Linked DNA regions of Lepisosteus oculatus. The protein of the gene in region 2 purifies or fractionates together with the protein of the main gene of each other region. This does not show direct contact. Links are inferred from orthologs where the notes say so. Each region holds a gene or a part of one and is shown on either strand. Other genes may lie near its edges. The genes, in order: sufu and gli2a.

The links.
Region 1: the proteins of gli2a (region 2) and sufu purify together in Homo sapiens (affinity purification with mass spectrometry; 3 studies listed by BioGRID and IntAct, with this or other methods). This does not show direct contact. The link is inferred for Lepisosteus oculatus from reciprocal best matches to the Homo sapiens genes GLI2 and SUFU.

The regions. Positions count from the first base shown.
Region 1 is NC_090699.1:45,292,246-45,296,162, forward strand, and holds the start of sufu (suppressor of fused homolog), read right to left. Parts: upstream 2,549-3,917; 5' UTR 2,534-2,548; coding exon 2,394-2,533; intron 2,241-2,393; coding exon 2,067-2,240; intron 1-2,066. UniProt on the Homo sapiens protein: Negative regulator in the hedgehog/smoothened signaling pathway. Down-regulates GLI1-mediated transactivation of target genes. Down-regulates GLI2-mediated transactivation of target genes. Part of a corepressor complex that acts on DNA-bound GLI1.
Region 2 is NC_090707.1:4,049,809-4,053,725, forward strand, and holds the start of gli2a (zinc finger protein GLI2a), read left to right. Parts: upstream 1-1,008; 5' UTR 1,009-1,131; coding exon 1,132-1,146; intron 1,147-2,929; coding exon 2,930-3,077; intron 3,078-3,917. UniProt on the Homo sapiens protein: Functions as a transcription regulator in the hedgehog (Hh) pathway. Functions as a transcriptional activator. May also function as transcriptional repressor. Requires STK36 for full transcriptional activator activity.

The DNA.
Region 1 (3,917 bases), on a different chromosome or scaffold from region 2:
GAATATTAAAGTCTATTACACTTTACCCTCTTGGCACAAATATTGTGACAGAGAGAGATCCAAGAAGAGAGCAGAAGAGGCCAGAGGAGAGGAGTGAATTAGATCACTTTAACCTAACATTACTGATCTTCTCCATCTATAAAATACAAATAAAGTCTGTCTCGTTGACCTAGTCATGTCAGGTATGCTGCTCACCAGCAGTCAAAGTCAATCACTGGTGTCCATCTGCATCTTCTTGTAATGCATGTGTTTTATTCATACATGAAGAAATGCTCACCAGACACTCTCTTCACTACACCAGACCAGATCTCAAGATCTGTTGTGCCTACAGTCCCTGTTGAGTACCAACAGTTCTCATGAGCTCCCTGAAGTCATCAATGATCTCCTTTCTAGCCCTGATCATAAAGGGTATCCACCACCTACTCCACCGCCAGACCACTTACTGTGGCTGAATAATTCTACCTCAGCCTAAATCTCCCTGGTCTTCAGCACGTCACCTGAAAGAACGGGTAATGACAAATGCATCCTGAATTTATTTACAATGTCTCTGTAAATGTTAGTATGAAACTCAAAATTATGCAATTTATAGCCACTTGCTTCCCTCATTGGTGTATAAAAAAACAAATATATAAATATCCACTTTACCAAAATGAGTTCCTTCTGAAATTTTGGTCTAACAGACAACCACTGAAAGAATTTTAATCACAAAGTCAGGTTTTCATTGGTGACATTATAAAAAAAAAGTGTTAACACAAAAAATGTGTTAAGGCAATAGTAATTTTTTACCGTTCTTATAAAGTGCACCCCTATTTATACTCAAATATATTTCTTAGGAAATAGAAATATAGAAGTTAATATAGGAGCAATAGAAGTTAAAAAAAACAAGCAAATTTGACTATCTACCATGTGTAGGCACATTCAGAAACCTAAACGGGGGTGACTCAGTCAGAAATAAACTTGGCTGCAACTGAGTACCTAACCAAACCACAAGAGATCAGCATCTGCGGGAGCAGAAAATGTGTTGGGTACAGGGCATGACGGTGAGGCAGCGGACCAGAACAGCGCCCTGTCTCAAGACCTCAGCCTGATCCCTGTCAGTCACTGACGCGCAAGGGATCACATCTGCCCGCATACACAGCAGTCCTCTCCACACACACACACATCAGTTCAAACAGTTTTTAGCGTGTTCTGTACCGTCATGTGGCGAGAGAAAGGAAATCCCTCACGTATTCGCGTGGGAAACCTACAGTATACACACCGTGAGCATCAACAGTCCTGGACTTCAAAGCAACCGTGGGACCATTCTTGAGCCCGTATACGGCGCAAACACCAACCGAGAGAAGTGGCGCTGATGCCCCTAGCGTAGCGATGATACTCTACCACCCGCTCAACACCGACTTGTCACCCTGCATGTAGCCAGGCTCGACGGTTCTGCTGGTCTGTAAAGGACACCCGCTGTGGAAATCAGACCAGTGCTCCTCCTGACAGAAAAGCCCTGAAAGACACAGCCAGCTCTCCGCTCCGGGGTCGCATCTTCTCTCTTTCTCGAAACTACTCTCTCCAGAGCTCATGGCCTCGCTGCCTACACGGCATGGGGTGAAGGGCTTCTGTGCAATGTCCACAGATTTGGGGGGGGTTGTCAAAAGGAAAGCCCCCTGAAAAGCTGTTTCCATCACAGTACCTACGGGTCTGGGACCCCTATCGCCCGGGAGTGGGGGGGGAGATCACTGTGCTCTTACTTATCCCCGAGACTCGAAACGGGTTCCCTTCACCGTGAAAACTTTGTCTATATCGACCACAAGGACGAAAGTGAGAAAGTTCAGCCCGCGAGTTACAGCTCCGCTAACAGTGTAACCAACATCAATGACAAAAAAAATAACCCCCGAACTCCAGCTGCACGGCACTGCGACCCTCCTCACTGGCCAGATTACGGCTGAACCGTTCAAAACTTTATATTAATCTCAATGAAGTCAAACGCACAAAACTAGCCCCATTTCCTTTCAAGGTTTTACAAAAAAAAAGTCTTGCATCGGCTTGGTGTTCTGGCTGCTGCAGGCAACACTCACCAGTATTTTACGATGGCTGTGACTTGCAGCGGGTTCGGCTGATCGGAATACAGCCGCCTGCATTCCCCGTAAATGGCTTGCAGACCCGGGGGGAACAGCGACGCCAGTCCCTGGGCTCCGGCGCCGCCGCTAGGCCGCAAATCATCCATCCCCGACACCGAGCTCCGGGGGCTGCTGGAAAAAAAACAGAGCAAGGCTCTCTCTTTCCTTCCACTGACACAAAGTTTGCAATTTACCGCTCCCCCCTTCCCAAAACCCAGCTATGTCTATTTTGGAGTCTCCTGTTTTCGCTAGATGAAAACGCGAAACCTGCCCCCCTCTTCTCACCCCAGCGAGGAGCAGCTTGTTGCTTCTCCAGTGAACGTCCGAGCACTTCTTGAGTGACACCTTGTCTTGCGAATCAGCATTTGGGGTGGGTGGGGAAAGCTGCCATCATAAGACAATGATTGGTTGATCTGGGTGTTCATCGGCGTGGAGGCGGGCACACCGCAGGAGTTTGGGGGCTGGGATTGTCGACAGTACTTGGGATTGGAGGGGGCGCTGCGCTGGGAAAACCAGTGCTTCTCTCTAAACCCGACTCTTAGCTCCACCTAGTGGACGCATACGGACACTCCTGTCTATGACGCAAATCATGTCAGATAGACATAGACTTTCTTCCCCTAAAAAAGTAATAAAAATTCCTTACACATACATAGCGCTTTTCTGGACACTCCACTCAAGGCGCTTACACCACCACCATCAGTGCAGCCCCACCTGGATGATGCGACGGCAGCCATAGTGCACCAGTACACTCACCACACACCAGCTATCATCTTGGTGAAGAACAGAGTGATGAAGCCAGTTCATAGATGGGGATTATTAGGAGGCTTTGACTGGTAAAGACCAGTGGGAAATTTGACCAGGGCACCGGGGTAACCTATTCGTTTCGAGAAACGCCCTGGGACTGTTAATGACCACAGAATGTCAGGATCTCGGTTTTACGTCTCATCCGAAGGACGGCGCATATTTACGGTATATTGTCCCCGTTACTATACTGTACTATGTACTATATTAGAACCCGTCACAGACCGCAGGGTGAGCGCCCCCTCCTGCCCCCACTAACACCACTTCCTGCAGCAACTTTAGTTTTTCCCAGGAGCTCTCCCCTCCAGGTACTGACCAGGCTTACACCTGATAAGCTTCAGTAGGCTGCCAGTTGTGAGCTGCAGGGCAATGACTCATGGAGTACTTTATAAACTACATATATATATATATTATTCCTAATCCTCACAGGGGTCGATATTGCGGATGACTGTTTGATACTGCTACGATATTGGTTGTTGATTTGCTCAAGAGAGAAACTAATTCTCTAGTATCACAAGAAGTAATGAATGAGAGGCTCACCTAGCCCGTTTGACGGTTAATGCAGTCACTGCGTTAATGCTTTTTGTTAAAGCAAACTTAATGCAGTTAAACTGCAGTCAGAACTGCAGTTTGTTTTGAACAAGTGCACAATCTTTAAGACACGTTTCATAAACGTTATGTATTTTGTCCCATAACACACGATGCTTCTTTGGAGCAAACCAACATCTCCGTGTTAAAAAGCGGAACACTTTCAGACAGCGTCCTTTCATGTCTAATACAACACTACACAGTTAAGGATTCATAATATAAAACCCTCTGAGGCTCGTTCGGTACCAGCATCTAGTTCAGACTTGTTTTTCTAAATTACTGTTGTACTAACATTGGTATGAGTCATCCCCGCCACAACCTCAGGAAGGATGAGGATAAACGGCTCTTTTTAGAGATTTATTTTTAAAATGAAATCTAGTTTTAGCTTCATACTTAAACAGGATCTTTAAGACAAAAGGT
Region 2 (3,917 bases):
TGCAACCTTGGAATGCTAAGCTTCAGGAGGGAAAATCACGCTACCATTGAAAAGCAAGTTTAGGCACAAGTTAAACGACTCTAGGGCTGTCGGGTGTTAAATGATTGTACATTATAAGTTATAATGTATTAGACATTATAATGAAAACGTATCTTTTTGTGAAAGGGACATGTTTAGAAGTGACCCAGTTACACAGTTACTTCAGTTTTTGAGAAAAAAAAACAACAAAACCATGAACACTGGACTGTTGCATGTGAAATGTTTACTTTTAAGGATTTTAAGGATTCAGTTCTTAAGTGTAAAGCAAAGCTTAACGCAAACTTTTGATATGACATACTGTATTAAACACACCTAGTCTTGTTCCACACTGATGGGTTTCCCACGCCGGTGTCCAACAGCAGAAACAGAGCAGTCCCGGCCTATGTTTAAAATAACCTTGACTTCTCTCTGGTAATGTCAATTAGCTCCTCAAACTCGCCTGCGAGCCGTCTGAAGCAGCGAATGTATTACCCTACGTCCCCAGGATTACTTATGCAAAACATCACACACCTAAAATGTCATTTAAAAAAATAAAAGGGAAATGTCTAGGAATCGTTACTTCATTCAAAACGCTCGCCTAGCACGATAAAATCCTACTGCAGTTTTGTCAGGTGTAAACTTTTTAGTTTTTCACCGCTGTAGATCTTGTCTTTTATCGTTGCGTTTCTGTCAGGCGTGAACATGGTTTGGGGAGTGTAGGTGGTTGTTGTTGTTAAAACTGCGAGCTCCCCAGCGAGTGAAAAGCTGTGCATGAAGAGTAGTTCACAGAGAAGATGCTCACAGCTGTAACGGCCCGCCGTGTAAATTAGGGTACGTCTTCGTTTTAAAAAAATGACTCCCACGTATTACGCCCTATTACGTACGACATACATACTTACCTCTGAGTTGACCAGCAAAGTTCAGTGCGGCTCTCATCTGTACGGTTGGTGCAGAGCTGTCCTGAGCCGAGATCCCCTCACCTCGCACCTCGCACCTCGCACGCTGCTCCCTCCCGTAGGTACAGGGCGCGTCTGAGGCACAACGTCCAACACACACCGCTGACCGCTGCTGCAAGTCCGCTGCCTTTGTTCAAAAAATATTGGGAAAACACGAATGAACTACGGGTTGGTGAGCGGAATACAGAACGGATAACGCGCATTTTAAAGTCTGTGTTTTCTTTTTTTTTTCCTAATTAAAAAAAAAGCAAAATGATCAGAATTATATCGACTCTGAACATATGTACTCAAAGACTTAATCGTTACAAGGTCTGGGTTCAAGGTGCAGATTCACGGAGTAAACGCTCGTGGAAAGGAATACGCTTGTAGATAAAGCTTTTAATTCATTAATTTCCTTCTGAAATATAACTGATACTGTACAGTTGGAAACCACGGGGTTTCCATTGCAAAGCTAAAACTTCACACCACAATCTTCCGCATGTCTGTCTCTGTACCTGTAGCTGTGTTTATACTTGAGGACGTTCTGTTTATCCCAACCCTTTGACAGCAATACGAGAAAAACTGAATAACCTGTCAGTTCTGTTCCTTTTACTGCGCTTTATTTCAGGTTATGATCCAAATACAAGCTGTTTTAAACACGCAAAGAGAGAGCGAGGATTCTTCTGAAGTAACAAAATAAGTTTGACTTGCTCCGTGCTGCAGTCTAAATGAAAGGGGGAGAAAACACACAAAGCTGAGAAAATCCACTTAAAGTTATATACAAAAACTAAGCCCCCTTTGAAATGAAAAGTAAACGGAGCCTGCAATGCTGGGGTAACAGAAAAGGCCCTGGAATGGAGTTTTCTTTCAGGCAAAAACCACCACTTGTTTGCGCTGCACCAAGGATAATCTTGTAGGTTCCACAAAGTTAAACAGCCGACCTGCTGCCAAGTCGGCATCTATTTAGATGAGGATGCAAACATGTTAATAGACGGAGTGGAAGATCGGCAGGCAGGGTCTTGTTCTGTTAATTGCTTTGTGGCATTTTGCACATGCCTTCTTGTTTAATTAAATACCTGGTTGGATCTGGGTTCTCTCAGATATATCACATTAAAATTGAGCAGAATCAGAGGATGTTGTTTCTCGGGTAATTTTGAATACTAAGGAGTGGGGAGCATAAAGTACTGTAGGAAGTTTCACTTAATGAAAAAATGTTATCTGTTATAAGTGTGCTGTTTTTGCCTGCAAGTTTTAGTTGGTTTTTTTTTGTCCAAAGTTATGTATAGTCTCTTTGTCTCTTTGGTCTCCTAGGGGGTATAATTGATGTTGTTCTAGTATAAGGTTTGGCAGTGTGACTTAAGGAACTGTTTCATTATCTGACTTTTAAAACTTGTACTTTTTGCATCTCCGGGATCTGATGCAGTACTGTGAAAACCGTGCAGTTTGTGGATACAATGTCCTTACTTTTCTTTTTAAAAACAATTAAAAACTTTGCAACAATAATTTGCAACAGTATTTTTACATCTGCAGTGGGCAGTACAGGTGTTATTTTGGATTTGTACAAAATATTCCTTATTATTACCGAACTCTTCTTTACTCTGGAGTGCTTACCTTTACCATGCTGTTGGTCTGTTAACATGCAGTCAGTCCCACCAGGTTCACATTGTTTTCATCACAACTGATGGTGACATTGGCAGCTCCCTCTACTGGCTCCAGTGAGCAGTTCCTCTTCTCCTCTCTCCTGTGTAACTAGTCCCAGGGACACCGGTGCTCCAAGGCCCTGTTTTCAAACTTGTTCTTTAGGCAGCATTTGAGTAAACCGATTAAAATTGCTTACTTTTAACAAACGCCGATGTCTCGCTTCCTTCTGAAGCTCATTTGCAATGCTGCAAACAAAACCTTTGAGCACTAGTTCCCACTGTTCAGCCAGCATGTGATTTATCTTCAGCTTGGCTGTTTCCTTCTGTTTTGTGCAGGTCTCTGTCACTGCTGAGGTATCGTCATCCACGATGGAGACTTCAGCACCGACTACGGCAGAGAAGAAAGATGCCAAGGGAGCAAGCATAGAAGGAAATGGCTTCCCAGAGCTGAGCAAAAAGCCCTCTCCTTCAGCCATAGCAAGAGGTAAGGTACATCGGTGTCTTAGAACTAGGACTTCTTCCTTTCCGTTTTTAACATTCTTTCCCCACTTCATTATTTGTGAGGTGTACCAAGGCTCAGAGCAGCTGACCCTTTGCCTGAAGCATGAGTGTCAGTGTCATTCACAGGAGGGGTGTGCCTCACAGCCAGCCAGCGAAGACTGTAAAAGAAACGCCAGCTTGATATGTAATGACACAACCTAAATATCTGTAAAAAATACATCCAGATCAGGATGTTCATGCTTTATCTCAGGAGACACTGGCCTGACAGTTGTGCCTTTAAGCGGATGTAGCTTACACTGCAGAACTGATGAGGATTATTATTTATATTAGGTGATAAAGTGGAGCATTGTGCTTAGATTTGCAATTTTTTTTTCCAGTCGTGCACAGGCAGTGCCACCAAATTGTTCTGTTTGTTTGCAGTTTTTCAGCGAACTATGTTCACACCACCGTTCGCTTGCTCCAGAAATTCCACCGTCCTCTGAACTACAGTACATAAAATGCAAGACTTCACAGTACCTGCCTTCTCCTGCTAATTGTACAGCTGCACTGGACTTGGTTGGGAAACCTCAGCTAAGAGTTCGGGGGGACTGTGGTGTGGAATGAATAAGTGTTTCAAACAAAAAGTTTGGAGCTGTAACATTTTTAGAGGTGTGTTTATTTTGATACCAATCAAAACTAATTGGCACTTGTCCAATAAGAGTATAAAGACAGATGTTTTATACATCTGTATATAGTTGTATCTGTTGTAGATGTTTAAGAGATGTCAGTGAGTGCATGATGAAAGAATTGTGTAATGAGATTTAAAGACCTTGTTCTTACCTCT